Linked DNA regions of Diceros bicornis minor. The protein of the gene in region 1 binds, or shares a complex with, the protein of each later gene. Links are inferred from orthologs where the notes say so. Each region holds a gene or a part of one and is shown on either strand. Other genes may lie near its edges. The genes, in order: RBSN and RAB4A.

What was found.
Region 2: the proteins of RBSN (region 1) and RAB4A are in contact, whole or in part, in a crystal structure (PDB 1Z0K), measured with the Homo sapiens proteins. The link is inferred for Diceros bicornis minor from reciprocal best matches to the Homo sapiens genes RBSN and RAB4A. Residues at the interface, in NP_001289307.1 of Homo sapiens: Glu441, Gly442, Trp443, Leu444, Pro445, Ser447, Glu454, Pro458, Leu459, Gln461, Gln462, Asn465, Ile466, Phe469, Asp480, Glu481, Thr484, Leu485, Asn488, Leu492, Glu495, Gln499; in NP_004569.2 of Homo sapiens: Tyr10, Leu30, His31, Ile34, Glu35, Ile46, Gly47, Val48, Glu49, Phe50, Gly51, Ser52, Lys53, Lys63, Gln65, Trp67, Arg74, Phe75, Ser77, Val78, Ser81, Tyr82.

What each region holds. Positions count from the first base shown.
Region 1 is NC_080741.1:87,281,745-87,290,086, reverse strand, and holds the start of RBSN (rabenosyn-5), read left to right. Parts: upstream 1-5,036; 5' UTR 5,037-5,156; intron 5,157-7,802; 5' UTR 7,803-7,972; coding exon 7,973-8,120; intron 8,121-8,342. UniProt on the Homo sapiens protein: Rab4/Rab5 effector protein acting in early endocytic membrane fusion and membrane trafficking of recycling endosomes. Required for endosome fusion either homotypically or with clathrin coated vesicles.
Region 2 is NC_080745.1:26,216,051-26,223,450, forward strand, and holds the start of RAB4A (ras-related protein Rab-4A), read left to right. Parts: upstream 1-4,052; 5' UTR 4,053-4,414; coding exon 4,415-4,445; intron 4,446-7,400. UniProt on the Homo sapiens protein: The small GTPases Rab are key regulators of intracellular membrane trafficking, from the formation of transport vesicles to their fusion with membranes.

The DNA.
Region 1 (8,342 bases):
GCAGATGCTCAATACATAGTTTGTTGAATGAACTTAAAATCGTGACCCTAAGTCGATTGCTGAGTTACACATTTTAAACTGGAGTCCTAAGTCTAATGTGTTGGATGCTTTACACTCCAAACATTCTTAAATGCCTCAAATAGTTAAAACATCACATTTACATGGATTATTTTGAATCTGGGTTGGAATTGGGGTTAAATTCTCAACTGGCTGAGCGTGCATATCTCCAGAGATTTCAGTCAAAGCAATGAGAAGTGAAACTGCAGAACACCAGTGTGATTTTTCTCACGACCTGAGGACCAGGCTGAGCCTTCATCCTCATCCCTGGCCCTGGGACCATCGTGTGGGTTGTGTATAGCACAGCCGAGGGGTTGATGGGAGCAGAAATCCAGTCTGTGCCCCACTTGCCAAGTGCAGAGCTTGAGTCCTGGCACAGGGCTGCATCCATTGGAGGGTGGGGGGCCTCTTTCCCATTCACAAAGGCCCCTATGGGCTGGTAGTGGCCCTGTTTTGTCAAAAGAGATGCCAGCCCACAACCTGCAAATCGGGTCGCCTTGGAGCTCACATCCCCCCAAGTCAATTCCATATTTTCTACTTTTCAGGTCTGTTGAGGCTGCCACTCCCTGCCCCCTCCAGCCCCCCTTGGATGCAGTGAATGTACTTACTATTTGATTCTATTCTGAGTTCCCACCCAGCAGGGCCATGACTCTCAGAGATATTTCCATGACACCAAGTGGGCTCCTCATACCTCCTATGAGACTGACACAACTGCCAAGGCATTTGAATGACACCTCCCTTCCTTTTTCTTTATTTAACAAACATTTACATAGTCCTTCCTATGTGCCAGGCACTGTTCCAGCACTTTCTAAATATTAACCTATTTAATCCTCCAACCTAGGAGGTAGGTACTATTATTATCCCATTTTACAGATGAGGAAACTTAAGTGACTTGCCTGGGATCACACAGCTACAGGGCTAGGACTCAAACCCGGGTTGACTGGCTCTGAAGTTTGTGCTTATAATCATGATGTTTTGCTACCTCATAACTTTTTTCTTATCATTCTTTTCTCCCTCTTTTCCTACGTGCTTCCCTCTCTTTCTTCCCCTTCCTCTCCTCTTTCCCTCTCTTCTTTCCTCTGTTCTCTGCTTTCTTCCTTCCTGACCCTGAGCAGCTGCCACCTGCTTCCCCAGGACACTGCCCAGTCTGGTACACCCTCTGCCAACTCTCCAGACCAGGCCCTGCTCTCCTGCCACCCTGCCAGTCCCTCCATCATTACTCTCATTTCCCTGTGCCAGTAGATGGGGTGTGCCAGCCTCTACCCCCTCAACCCGTCTGCTCACGACCACAGGCGGCAGTTGGCAGAGGTCTGGCAAACGGGGGCCTGGGCCAGCCTGGAGGGAAGCTGGATCTTTGGGCAGTTACATGATGTGCTGCACACCTTCCCCTGACGTAGGCTTACCCACATCGTGATTTCCGTTTCCTGCTCAGGGATTTTAATGTGATGCCAAGACATCTCGTGGTGCTTGGGATGAACTTAGACAATAAGGGGCCAGAAAGAAAGAGACAAAGAGAGAGGGATAGAAAGACAGGGAGAGAGAGAGAACTCTAACGGGGAAGGCAAAAGGGGAAGAGAGCCAGTTCTCTGAGGTTCTACCATTAGAAGCAGCTCCCTACAGTGTTGGGAACAAGGAGCAGTATGAATGAACTTTTCTAAGTTTCTCAAAGGATGCATGTTCTTCTGCATGACCATGTCTTTGCATATGCTGTTCCCCCGGCCTGGAAGGCTCTTCCTGATCATTTCTACCTGAGGGCTCTGCTCATGTGTTGCCACCTCTGGGAAACCGTCCCTGAATTCCCACAGGTGATTCTGCCTCCCCTTTGATGCCAGAGCTTCTGCACATATGTGCACACTTCTCTCTTTTTTAACTATTTGGCTTATAAGCATCTGTGTCCCCTGCCAGCTGAGCCCTCCTCCAAGACTGAGACCATCCTGCTTTATTCTCCTTACACCCTCTATCTCTATGCCTGGTACACAGTTGGTGCCTGGAAAATGCTGAGAGATGCAGGAAGGCTCAGAGATCAGACCTTCACAGAGGAAGGAAAATTGGGAGTGGTGAAAGTCTCAAGGCAAGATGACTCTGGGTTCAGCACTTACCAGCTGTGTGACCTTGGGCAAGTCACCTAACCTCTCTGTGCCTCAGATTCCTCACTTATAAAATGGGAATGATATTAGTTTGTACCACATAGGGTTGTACGAGAATTAAATAAGCTAAGACATGTAAAGCACATAGAACAGTGACTGGCACATGTGAATCACTCAGTTAATATTAATCATTATTATTATTATTAAAATGCAAATAGTAATAGAGTTTCCCAAAGGATTTAAGCAATATAAGTGCTTTTGATAAACTGTAAAGCATACAGGAAGGTCTTTGCCACCATCATCCCTTAAAAATATCAATAGAACAGCAGTGGCTGATCCATCATGATTTTCAGAATTAATTCACAAGCTGCAGCCCACATTGCCACTGCTTTTTTGAGCAAATGAAATGGTGAATGTGACACTGGCTTTTGTAAATGACAGGCAAAATCATGATGGTTTAATAAAAGGCTCATCGCCTGACCCCAAACATAGTCCTGCCTGTAAGCACGGCCGGTTCTGGGACTTATGGCCCCAGACATTCAATAAGGTGTTTTCACTCTCCAAGTCCTGGCTACCGCAAGCCAAGGCAGAGGCCGGGGACAGAGAGACAGAATTGGGTCTGTTGCTTTGCTTCTGACAGGTTGGCAAGTCTCTTCCTTGTCTGTGCCAGCACACAAAGAGGAGTCACTGTCCACTCCCGCCAACCCTGTCAAGTTTAAAAAAAAAAGGGGGGGTGACCAAGTTGAAAAAATAAAAGAGCTTGCAAATCTTTGGAAGCTATTTTACCTGTACAGATGGGAAAACTGAGGCCAAGAGAGGGGAAGGGATCTGTTCAAAGTCACAAAGTAAGGTGCAGGCAGAGCTAGAACCCAGGTCTCTTGACCCTTAGCTCACCGCCCTTTCACTGGCGATTGCCTTCCAAAAACTCAATGCTCTCCACACTGGGAGCCCCAGGTCTTAAACGGAAGGTGATGGAGGCCCAGCACTAGGTGCGGAATCAGTGCTCCTGTCCACAGGCGGAGCCAGTGTTAGGGATGCCTCCTCACTATCACCTCACTCAGTCCTTACAACCCTATGAGATGGAGACTATTATTTTCATCCCCATTTTACAAATGGTGATACCAGGAGTCGAAAGGGTCAAGCAACACTGCTGGAACATGAACCAAGGCTGCTTTCTGACCCCAAAGCTCAGGATCTTCCCATCATGCTCTGCAGCTCTTTTTCTGGAGCCCAGGCCATTGCTGAAGGCCAGCACTTGTGCAGGGCACAAAGCAAACAGCTCCCCAGAACTGGGATGAGGTTTTGTCTCTATACACCCTGTGGTACTCAGCACAGCGCAGGGCATGGAGTAGGTGCTGACTGATCACTCTGTCTTTTTTTTTTTTTTTTTGAGGCATAATGTACATATAACATTATATTAGTTTCAGATATACAAAATAATGATTTGATATTTGTATATATTACAAAATGATCACCACAATAAGTCTAGTTAACGTCATCATACAAATTACAAATTTTTTTTCTTTTTAAGAGAAATTTTAAGATCTACTCTGTCAGCAACTTTCAAGTGTGCAATACGGTATTATTAACTATAGTCACCATGCTGTACATTACATCCCCGTGACATTTATTTTATAACTAGAAGTTTGGGCCTGTTGACCCCCTTCACCCATTTCAGCCACTTCCCACCACTCGCCTCCAGCAACCACCAATCTGTTCTCTATATCTATGAGTTTGGTTTTCTGTGTGTGTGTGTTTTAGATTCCACATATAAGTGAGATTATACGACATCTGTCTTTCCCTGTCTGACATATCACTTAGCATAAGGCCCTCAAGGTCCATCCATGTTGCTGCAAATGCAAGATGTCCTTTTTTTTTTTTTTTTTTTTGTGAGGAGATCAGCCCTGTGCTAACATCCGCCAATCCTCCTCTTTTTTTGCTGAGGAAGACGGCCCTGGGCTAACATCTGTGCCCATCTTCCTCCACTTTATATGGGACGCCGCCACAGCATGGCTTGCCAAGCAGTGCGTTGGTGCACGCCCGGGATCCGAACCAGCGAACCCCGGGCCGCCGCAGCGGAGCGCGCGCACCCAACCGCTTGCGCCACCGGGCCGGCCCCGCAAGATGTCCTTTTTTGTGGCTAAATTATGTGTGTGTGTGTGTGTGTGTGTGTGTGTGTGTGTGTGTGTGTGAACATTATTTCTTTATCCATTCATTCATCAATGGACACTTAGGTTGTTTCCCTATCTTGGCTACTGTAAATAACACTGCAGAGAACATGGGGGTACAAATATCTTTTTGAGTTAGTGTTTTTTTCTTCATTTAAATACCCAAAAGTGGAATTGCTGGATCATATGGTAGTTTTATTTTTAATGCTACAGATTTGACCACGCTGTACACCCTCTGCATGGATGCTCCCTCTCATTCCAAGTCCCCACTCTCACGTGGATCTTTTTACATTCTCCAAGTCTCCTGAATATTACTTTAATCTCTAGCTCTCAGGAGCTTTAATTGACCCGAATTAATGCAGAACTGCAGTTGGGGGTGGGGTAGGGGGCGATAAAGACTCCTCCGCCGCCTCATTCACTGCTCACCTCGGTCAAGAGCTAAAGAACCGCAGGCTTCAGTCATCGCATCCGTACAACGCGGCGGAGAGCAAGAGGCTGGCTTTAACGTGTTGCCTGTAAGTACCTAGGACGTCAACACGCCCGCAAATTAACCAGCGGCCCCCCCGCGCTCCCCCCGCCCCCGCGCTTCTTACAGCGCCTGCGTAGAAGCCGCCGGCCGCCCTGCGCCGTTTGCATCCGTCCCCGCCCCTTTCTCGCCCTCGAAGACTCGGCGCTCGACGGGCGTCTGTCAGCCTGCTTTCCGGTTTCGGCGCCGCCGCAGGCGCGCCTGCCGAGCGCCGAGCAGCCATGGAGATGGCGGCGGCGGCTGTGTGAGGGACCGTGGAGGCCTAGAGCCCGGGCCGGAGGGCTGGACAGGCCTGCGTGCCCGCGGAAGCCCTACCGGGTACAGAGGGCTGGGCTGGGCCTGAGGGGCAGGAGCGCCGAACGGAGACGGGCGGGCCGCGCGGGGGTGGGATGTGTGAGGTTGTGGTGGGTGTGACGTGCGTGGTGGGAGATGTGGCTTTCGGGCTGTGCGTTTCGCCTGTGTGTGCTTGCGATGATTGGGCTCTATTTGGTTGTGTGGTTATGCGGGGCGTGTACAGTTGTGTTGGGTTATGAGGCTGAGGAGGGAGGCGGTTGTCTCCCGAGTGTTGTTTGGGTCTCTGGTTGTGTGAGGTTGAGGCATTTGGGTTCTGAGTTTGTGTGGAGTTGTTTGTAGTGTTTTGCGTGTCACCTGTGCAGTGTGTGGAGTTGTCATGTCTGCTCTGTGGGTCTTTCATGTTGTGTGGTTATGCGACGTGTGCACAATCGTGTTGAGTTCTGTGGAGGGTGGTTGTGTGCGGTGGTGAGGCGGGGATGAGTGGGCTGTGGGATACGCAGTCTTTGCGGCATGTGGCCGGGGAGCGCTCGTGCTGGACGTATACTTGCAGGATATGTAGATTTTATTTATTTATTTATTTACGTTGTTTAGGGTGTGAGGGGCTTGCATATGCTATGGTTGTGGGGTCTGGCTGGTTGGTTTGTGGTAGATTTCTTTGGTTTGTGGTGTGTATTTGGTTATATGATTTTAGAGTTCGTGCATTCTTTCATTCATGGAGCTTTATTTTGTTTCTTCGTGGTCTGTGCCAGGCGCTGTGCTAGACTCTGGAGAGGTGGTGCTGGTGAAAACAGACATGGTCTCTGCCCTCACAGAGCTTACAGTCTGATGTATTTAGTCACTTCGTGTACTTGTGGTTATAAATTGAGATAAGTGTTGTGACGGAGAAGAGCAAGGTGTGTCCCACGGGAGAATGCCTCTCCTAAGAGGCATTTCCTTGAGGCAGTGAGGTTCGGTTGAGACGCGAAGGGTGTGTGTGTGTTTGATTTGTGGTTGTTACGGGCCAGTGCGTGGGAAGGAAGGGGGCTGTCAGAGTCAGGGCATCAGATGAACCCCTGGCTGGGGAGGGAACTGGAGCTGCTGTTTCAGTGATCTGGAAGAGGGGCTGAGATCTGCATGTATATAGCCCTTGAGTTTCTTAGCTAAGAAAAAGAACAGGGACCTGGTGTTTCATTTGTGCGTTTTCTGGGTCACTGCCATCCCTCAGCTTTGAGGACCAGGCAGTCCCTCCTCAGTGGCCCTCCAGGCAGGTCCATTCGAAGCTGAGGTCATACATTTCCTCTTCACTCTCTACTGTGGTTTGTGGCCTCGGTTCTTGGGGAGAAATTTCTCTGCTTTTGTGGAATGGTTTTCTGGGAGTCTTTCTGAGATGACATTGGAAGTGACTTTGCCATGGCCTATTAAAACTGACAGTGTAACTCATTAAGCCTTGAATTGTTTAAGCACCAAATCCTCTTATTTTTGAAGCAGTGAGAACATTAGGCTTGCTACTCAACTGTCGCTTATTTAAACTGTCACTTATACAATCTAGTAAGTTCATTGGAGAGAGAGTGCTCTGCAAACAAGACACAAAATACTGACCCCGTGCCTTTTTTTTTTTTTTTTGGCTGAGGAAGATTCACCTTGAGTTAACATGTCTCACCAATCTTCCTCTTTTTGCTTGAGGAAGATTCACTCTGAGCTAACATCTGTTGCCAGTCTTCCTCTATTTTGTATGTGGGTTGCCACCACAGCATGGCCACCAACGAGTGGTGTAGGTCCGCGCCTGGGAACTGAACCCAGGCCGCCGAAGTGGAGCACACCGAACTTAACCACTAGGCCATGGGGCCAGCCCTCGATTTTTCTTCTCCTTCTTCTTTTTTTTTTTTTTGTGAGGAAGATTGGCCCTGAACTAACATCTGTTGCCAGTCTTCCTCTTTTTGCTTGAGGAAGATTGGCTCTGAGCTAACCAGCGTCTGTGCCAGTCTTCCTCTATTTTGTCTGTGGGTCTCTGCCCCAGCATGGTGATGAGTGGTGTAGGTCTGTGCCAGGGATCCGAACTTGTGAACCCAGGGCCGCCAAAGCCGAGCGTGCTGAACTTAACCACTATGCCACTGGGCTGGCCCCCTGATTTTTCTTTTTGACCACTAGGTTTCTAATGCTCCTCCTTAGACTGAGGTTGGGATTTTTGTTTTTTTGGTTTTGTTTGTTTTTTAGGGCAGACTCTATCTCTTTTTCGTTGGTGCATTTTTGACACATCTGCGAGAGCTCAATATATGTGGTTGAATAAATGATCAAGGTAAAGAGGGTCAAATAAAAACTTCTGCTTGTTGATAAGTACTTCAGACATTGCCCCAGTGGCTAAAGTGGCATACAAATTATGAAGTTGGACCATTTGGAATGAATGTTAGAGAATTGCCTTGGTGTTGTGTTTGCTGTTGAAGTTGAATTTTCTTTTCTTGTCTTCAAGAATCTGTGCTTCCCACTTCATTGAGTTGCCATTGTCCAGTGATGTTCTCATATCTTAGAAGGTTTTGTGTTTTGGTCTAAGGATTTGAGAAAGCAGTTTGTGTTCTTAACTTGCACTGAACAATTAAGTACCCTTGTTGAAATGTGAAAAGAACAAAGGAAATTCTCAACTGCTGCTAATTTGCCTGAATTGGCTTTTTCTTCCCTTCTTCTTTCCTTTCTCAGGACTTCTACTCCAGAGAGGAAACCTCATCCAGGGCCATGATGCCACTTCCCCATTATCTGTGTGCTGCTTGGTTAAGCTAATGCTGCAGGAGCCCTGGTCCCTTGTGGAGGAATCAAGCTGACTCTTGGCATGAGGCCCCTGCCTTACAGGGGTTGAGAGGGACACTGCCATGGCTTCTCTGGATGACCCAGGGGAAGTGAGGGAGGGCTTCCTCTGCCCTTTGTGCCTAAAGGACCTGCAGTCTTTCTATCAGCTTCAGTCACATTATGAGGAAGAGCACTCCGGGGAAGACCGTGATGTCAAAGGGCAAATTAAAAGTAAGAGGCGAGGATTTTTTGCTTATCCCATTCTGTCAATGGGAGCTTTAACTCATGGGATAGTTTTCATCAGTTTCCATGTTGCCACAGAACATGATAACACTAATAAGTAATAATAGTAGCGAACATATCTAGTGCTTACCATGTGTCAGGCATTGTTAACAGTCTCGCCATGTATTAACTTCATTTCATCCCCACAATAACTGTGACTGTGAGCCCCAT
Region 2 (7,400 bases), on another chromosome or scaffold:
AAAAAAAACTGTCAACTTAGAAATCTACACTCACCAAAAATATCATTCAAAAACAGAAGTGAAATAAAGACTTCTTTAGATATACAAAAGCTGAAACAATTCATCAGCCACAGACCTGAGCTTCAAGCTCTGCTACGGGAAGTCCTTCAGGCAAAAAGGAAACAACACCTCATGGAAATCTGAATCTACACAAGGGCCTGAGGAGTCCTGGATATGATAACTATGTAGGTAAATAGAAAATACTTGTTCTTATTGTTTAAATCTATTTAAAAGAGAATTTGCTGCAAAATGTGGTAAATACACACAGTGGAATATTTTTCAGCCTTAAAAAGGAAGGAAATTCTGACACGTTACAACATGGATGAACCTTGAGGACGATACTAAGTGAAATAAGCCCATCACAAAACGACAAATACTGAATGGTTCCACTTACATGAGGTACCTGGAGTAGTCGAATTCATAGAGACAGAAAGTAGAACAGCGGTTGCCAGGGGCTGGGGGAAGGGGGAATGGGGAGTGAATGTTTAACAGGTGCAGAGTTTCAGTTTTGCAAGATGAAGAGTTCTGTGACTAGATGGTGGTGACGGTTGCACATTATGAATGTATTTAATACCACTGAACTGTACTCTTAAAGATGGGTGAGATGGTAAATTTTATGTTATGTGTATCTTACCACAATTTTAAAAAGAGAGAAAATTGGCTGCTTAAAGCAAAAATAATAGCAATGTATGTGGAGTGTATAACAAATGTAAGAAACAGGACATCCACAGTACAGTTGGTGGAGGGGGATGGAGGAAAACTGTTGTGGACTTCCTATACTCTACATGAAATGCATTTTACTTGAAGATGGACTGTGAGAAGTTAAAGACCTATACTACAAACCCTAAAAAATAACATGAAAATAACCTCAGAAGTTATTCCTAATAAACAAAAGAGATAAAACAGAATCATAAAAAATGTCTCTGCCCACTGAAAAGGCCTAGAAGCAGTAACATCCCAGTAGCAGCAAACACAGGTGTACACATATTTAAAAAATTATCAAAATGTATACTTTAAACACGTAAAGCTCTATCAGTTACACTTCAATAAAGTTGTCTAAAACAGAAGCCGAATGAGCTTCCTGGACAGGTAAAAGGCTCCTGTGTTAGTCATAATGTATTTCCACATACACTCTCTTCTTTCCTTCTGGAACATAACAATATTGCACTCCCTGTTCTCTTTGAAATTAGGTGTGGCCACGTCACTTGCTTTGGCCCATAAAATGTAAATGGAAGTGATTTTATCAATTCCTGATGGGATCTTCGTGAGCTAATGCACATCTGGTGCTGTTTCCTTCTCCCACCTGAATGATGGTGGGAGCAAGTGTTTAGATGTGACTTCGGTCAGGCTGGGTCTACAAATGCCCACATGGAGCCGAGCCTCTCGGCCAGAATGGGTGGGGCCGGTAGTCTGAGTGAGAAGTGAACTTTTTGTGTTAGTCATAAGTGTCTTGGGAGGTCTTTGTTACTACAGCTAATTTAGCCCATCCTGACTGAATATTCCCTAACAACAAAGGTGTCCAATCACAGAGGCAGTGTTGTTTGGCACTGGAAGGCAAACTGGTCCAGTGGCCTCTGAGGTCTCTTCCAACTTGAACATAAGAGTTATATGTCACAGCCATCACCAGCCTGGGTGTTTAACTGAGGTCATCTTTGCCAGTCTCCACCTGCCTAAGCAGAACTTGGCTCCTTCTCAAAGTAACACCCAGATATTTCTGAGTCCTCAAGTGCTCAGACACAAGTTGGCTTATGTTCTTCAACTCCAGTTACCAAAGAAAGTCATCATGTTGTAGAGGCTGTGACCAGTGCCCTCTACCAAGCCTAACTTGGCAAGGATGCCACGTCCCTTTGCTCCCAATGCCACTGCTCCCTGGAATGTCAGGGTCATGCTGGATTCTCATCCCTAGGCCTTTTGAAGGCTCCCCTCCAGAGAACCAGGCCACTGTTACAGGTCCAACCCTGTGCCTAGAAGTCCAGAAGGACCTTTCAGTCATTGTCCATCTGTCCCCACTGGTCCCTGCAGAGAAACCACTGTCCCCATCCATGTGGTCCTCTGTCAGTCCTGGGGAACAGGAATCCTTGTGAAACTGGCAGCCCCCTGAGGCTCCTAATTGGTCATTAAATGTGAGGCATTGCCAAGGAGCAAGAAGGAAAGTACCAGCTATTTGCAGGACCCACTGACCTGAGGAGGAGTGGGTGGGATCTATTTTGGAAGAAATCCTTCTCTCTCCATCTCCCTTAGACTAATCTCCAATGTGCCTAGGCTTTTGGAAACATGCTTTTTACTCTATCACAAACTTCCCCTGAAGGGAAAGGAGACAATAACCAGAGAAAACATACATTAATTTTGGCAATAAGTGTCCCTTGCACACAATTAACTGTACTTCAGAACCAAAGCAGTCTCCAAGAATATTTAGAAGAAAATTATTTTCTCTCAAAGATCCAAAGTTACCGAGATGCAAAGAACCTTTCACATTATTATTCAAGGAGGTTTGGCTCCTTCAAACCTCAGCTCTTGAGTATTTATTTCCTTTTCCAGTTGTGATATTTGGCTTTATATTTGCAAACTAAATGATTTCTTTGGGTGGTTTTAACAAAACAGTCTTTCTCAAATGCCTAGGTAAGTCTTTGTTTTCTACAGAATAGAAAACTGCTCTCAGCTTTGAAATAGCAGCTTCATTTTTATTTCTATTACTCTCTCCAGGTTTCAGAGACCCTCAAGGTCCAGTTTCAGTCAATAACCCAAGCGATCACTGTAACCCAGTGATTCCTTTCTTATCCACAGAAGTTTCTGGCAGGAAGAAAACTTTGATCTAAAGAATGGGATCACTGTCTTTCCTCTGAAATAGTTTTAATCAGGATAAGTCTGCTATACTCAGGAGTGTAAATCAAACCTAATATGCAGAAAGCCACACAAGAAAGCAACAAAGTATCTGAGCCAGTGAACAAGTATACAAAATAATTCTAGGAAATGACAGTTCTCACAATATTTCAGCATGAGGTCCTCTCTGTGATTTAGAAGCAAGGATATTTATTTGCTATTAGGTTCAGAGAGAAGAGTAAAATGTAGAGCCAAATAGCCCTTGGGGAAGAGGGGAAAAGGCCTCAGGGAAGGTCTGATGCCAATTTAGGTGGAGGATGGAGCCAAATGGACTTGAAAAAATATATATTTACTGGCATTTTCCCCACCGTCCAAATTACTTGGGAGCTTAGCCAAGGTATATTTTTAGTATTCTACTATGTCTTTTGAACAACGTTGGATCTTATGAGATACCATGTGGCCCTGATCACGCTCAGATGCAGCAAACTCCCAACCAAGATTCTCTTCCCAATAAACGTTTATGTCGACGTTTCCAACAGAAGGGGATCCTGAATTCAGTTTTGCTCCTTAAATCAAAATACTCACCAACGACTCCTAACCTTAGAAATGCATCTCCAGCTGAGGGTCAGGAGATGCTTCCTGCCCATAAGCCACATTCCCCTAAACTGGGATGCAGAGGGGCCAATGTCTACAGTCTTCCCGGCACTCTTCAGCAGTGGTACATCTTAAGCTTCCGTCGGTTTCCCCCAGACACCAGCTCAGCCCCACCCGAGAGGGCCTGGCAGGTTCAGAGAGAAATCTCAGTCTCCCGGCAAGTAAGCCTGCCTCCCCGCCCACAGGGCTGGCCTCTAGCTGGACACCTGGAGCCACTGCCTCCTAGCTACACAGTAACCACCTTCCCGGGTTGAGCATAACAGCTTGAACGAAGTCTTTTCCCGGCTGAGAGCTGCAAATGACGACGACAAAGTCTTTACTGAGGCGGGCTAGTTTGGCCAAAGGACATTCTTCCTCCCCAGGGCTGGCACTTCGCCTCCTCTGCCCAAGAGCTGGAGCCCACTGTCCGCAGCCCTCCGTCACCCACAAGCCTGCCGACCGTCGGCTCCTCCCCACCTCCGCAACCCCGGCTAAGCCAGCCCCGCCCCTCGGCCCGCCCGGCCTCCCCGCGCCCCTCCATGCGCGCCGGCCTCCCCGCGCCCCTCCATGCGCGCCGGCCTCCCCGCGCCCCTCCGCGGGCTGCGTGCGCACGCGCGCCCACGGGCGGGAACCGGCCTCCAGCTCCCCTCTCTCCTCCTCCTTCTTCTCCTCCTCCTCCTGGTCCTCGGCCCGGCCCGGCAGGGGGCGGGGGGCCGTGCGCCTGCGCAGAGCCGGCAGTCCGGCAGGGCAGCAGCCGCGGGGTGGCCGGCGGCTGCCGTGGGGACCGCGGCCCCTCCCTCCTCAGGTCCCCCGCCCCACGCCGTGCCCCACCGAGACGCGGCAGACGACCCCGGCCCTGCCCTCCTGCTGGCCTGGCCAGAGCTGCAGCGGTGACCTGGCAAGAGGCGGTGCCGCTCCCAAGATGTCGCAGACGGCCATGTCCGAGACCTACGGTATGAGGCTGGCAGGGGGAAGCGGGCGGAGGCGGGCCGAGGGTCTCAGGGGCGCGGGGGCCTGGCCTGGGCTGCGGGGTCCCGGAGTGTGGGGGGCGCAGGCCGAGGAGGGCGGGGGGCGCGGGCTGCGGATCCGAGTGCCCGAGCGCGGGCCAGGCTGTGTGCAGTCTGTTGACGGGATCTGCTTTTTCAAGTTTCCTCTGGGTTTTTCTCCGCGTTTACGCCCGGAAGGGTTTTTCTTTCTTAGTCTCATTTCAAGATCTCAGGGTTTGGAAAGCCAGTTTGAGACTCGGTTTCATCTGTGATATTGTCCCCAGCGAGGGATGTGAAGGACTTGGGGCGACGCCTGTGTTTCAGTGTGTTCCTCAGATGTTCCAGGTTGACCTTTCCTGGTGTGGAATTCCTTTCTTTGCAAAGGGATTACAGTGAGGAATTGTCGATAGACTAATCAATTCTTTCTCCGGCGACCTTTTGCCTTATTTACTTCTCTCTCTCTCAGGTGTTTTTAGCCCTTTCTAGGTTGCATTATGGCTATTTATAAATGTGTCATTTTAAGACCATCAACACCTTGGAAGCAGAGCCCTGTCTCCTAATCTTTGCTTCCTCTATAGCACCCACACCTGGAGGTGCTCAACAAATATTTTTTTGAATAAACGAAAACCTTCCCAACTCATATATTGTGTCTTTTTGTTTTTGTTTTAGTCGTGTGTGGTAAAATAAACAGTATAGCATACCTCTGCTTTGTGTCAGGGTCGAGGAGATGTTTACCATCTCTGATCGCTCTTTCAGATGTGTGCATTCTCAGATTAAGACTTTGATTTGGAAGTTTACAGAAGCTCAAGTTCAAAAGTATGTACCTCCAGTTGAATCAGTCTTGTCTGGGTTTGTCCTGGTATGCTGCTCCTTTGCTTCAACAAATATGTGTGGAATGGCAGCATGGAGCCGGTTGTTGCTAGGAGGCGCTGTCAGTACTGCGAGGAACACAGCAGGCCGGCTCTGGTCTCATGGAGTTTACAGTCTAGTGGCGATTCCAGTGTTAATCCAGGTGTGACACTAATGAATGGTTGAAACCCAGGCAGGAGTTCTGCAGGAATGTGGTCTATAGAAAGTAGGTAAGAAAGAAACCCCGCCAGACTGGGGGCCAGGGCAGCCACACATGCCAGAACAGCATGTGCCCAGGCCCTGAGGGACATGCAGTTCCAATAAGGGGGTGTGGTTTAGGCCCCACAGGCCTGGGGAGGGGTGAGGGTGAGGCAGAGAGGGCCTCTCTCCTAAAAGGGGTGGGGTCGTAGTGCATTTGCTCCACCTTCAGCCACTCCTGTGACTAGTACATGCCCTGTTCTTGGTGACACTGGGGACAGGACATCTGTTCCTAGAAGGCTTAGGAAATCCTCCAGGAAGTTGCTAGCTTCGTGGGGACCACTGTTGTCAGAGCTGCAAATGCAGTACATCCACATGGTCTGGTTCTCTCTATGGAGAGCTGCAGTCAGATTTCATAGAGAAAATGAGTTTCTCTAGCAATTTTTGGTTATACTTTTGCTTTTCTTTCAAGTGCTTCTTACCCCACACTTTAAAGGAGCACTAGGGAGGAGTGGAAAGTCCAAATAAGAGACCCAGGTGGGGGTTATGAATTAGTAGAAAGGACTGGAAGAGTTCAGGAGCTAGAGCTTTTCTGTTTCATCTGTCTTATATGAGATGATAACTTGATAAAACGTAGCATACCTTTGGCTTCTCCACTTCAGACAGAGTTAAGTGAACTTGTGAGCATGAACTGACTAAATGCTGATCGTAAGGCCTTGACCATTAATACTGTTATTTCATGGTATCTTCCAAATTTGTTTTTACTTTTTACTAACTGAATTTCATCTTTTCCTCTAATAGAGGAAATTAAAGGAAACTAATAGAAAATTAGTTTTAGAAAGAGCCAGTGTGGCAGTTGCAAGTGCCAACCTAAAATAAAAGTCGCCCAAACCAAGTCCTAAGCTGTCACCTTCACTTCTCATTGCCCATATTTGTGCAGCATTGTTCCCCAAAAGTAAAACAATCAGGTTCCCTCCTTTCAGACGTTTGCCTCTTAGATAGCTGGTAAAGGAATGTTTGCCTAACCTTTAAACACCTTTGTACCCTCTGCTCCTGTTCTCTTTTCTGGAAAAGGAGGCTCTGTGGCTTGACAGGGATATGATGAAAAATAAAGAGCCAATGCTTACAACATACTGTTAATGAGCTGTATCTACCTGCTTTTTAGCGTATTAAAGCAATATTTCACCTTCCATAGACTGAGTAATGTTCAGCGTTTTGCTGCTTTGAAACCACTAACTACGTGAGTACTATGCTTTATATAATGTTGTAATACAAAATTGAAATTTTAAACACTTAGGTTTCAGATTGAAACCGTCAATCTGAATATCCCTAAACTGAAACAGCGTTTCTCAAATATTATTAGATCCACAACATTCTTAAAGCCCTGGCTGGTTAGTGTGGCTTGGGACTTCCCCAGGAGCTCCAGCCATCTGAGACTTGGGAGATCACAAATTGGCCTTACCTAATTTCTGATACCAAAATTTGTGAGACAAAACTGACAAATCAAATAGGTAGTACTCAGCAATGATGTTCAGAAAGGAGCTAAAAAGTATAAGTGGTGTCGAAAACGCTGGAAATAAAAAAAAATTTTTTTAAGAGCTGAGGCAGTTTGAGAGTGAGGAAAAATCTGAGACAAATCTGTACATTGGAGTTTATGCCTTCTACGGTGAAAATGGTTTATGAAACAAGAACACAAATTGTTGGTCCTATTCTAATTTTTATCACAATGTACTCTTAATATTTTTATTTTGTGCTTCGTTTTATAAGTATTATAGTATTTACCACAAAATTTTGAAAATTATCAGGATATTTTCTTTTAAAAATGTATCAGTATTGGCTGTTATGGGTTGAATTGTGTCCCCCAAAAGATATGCT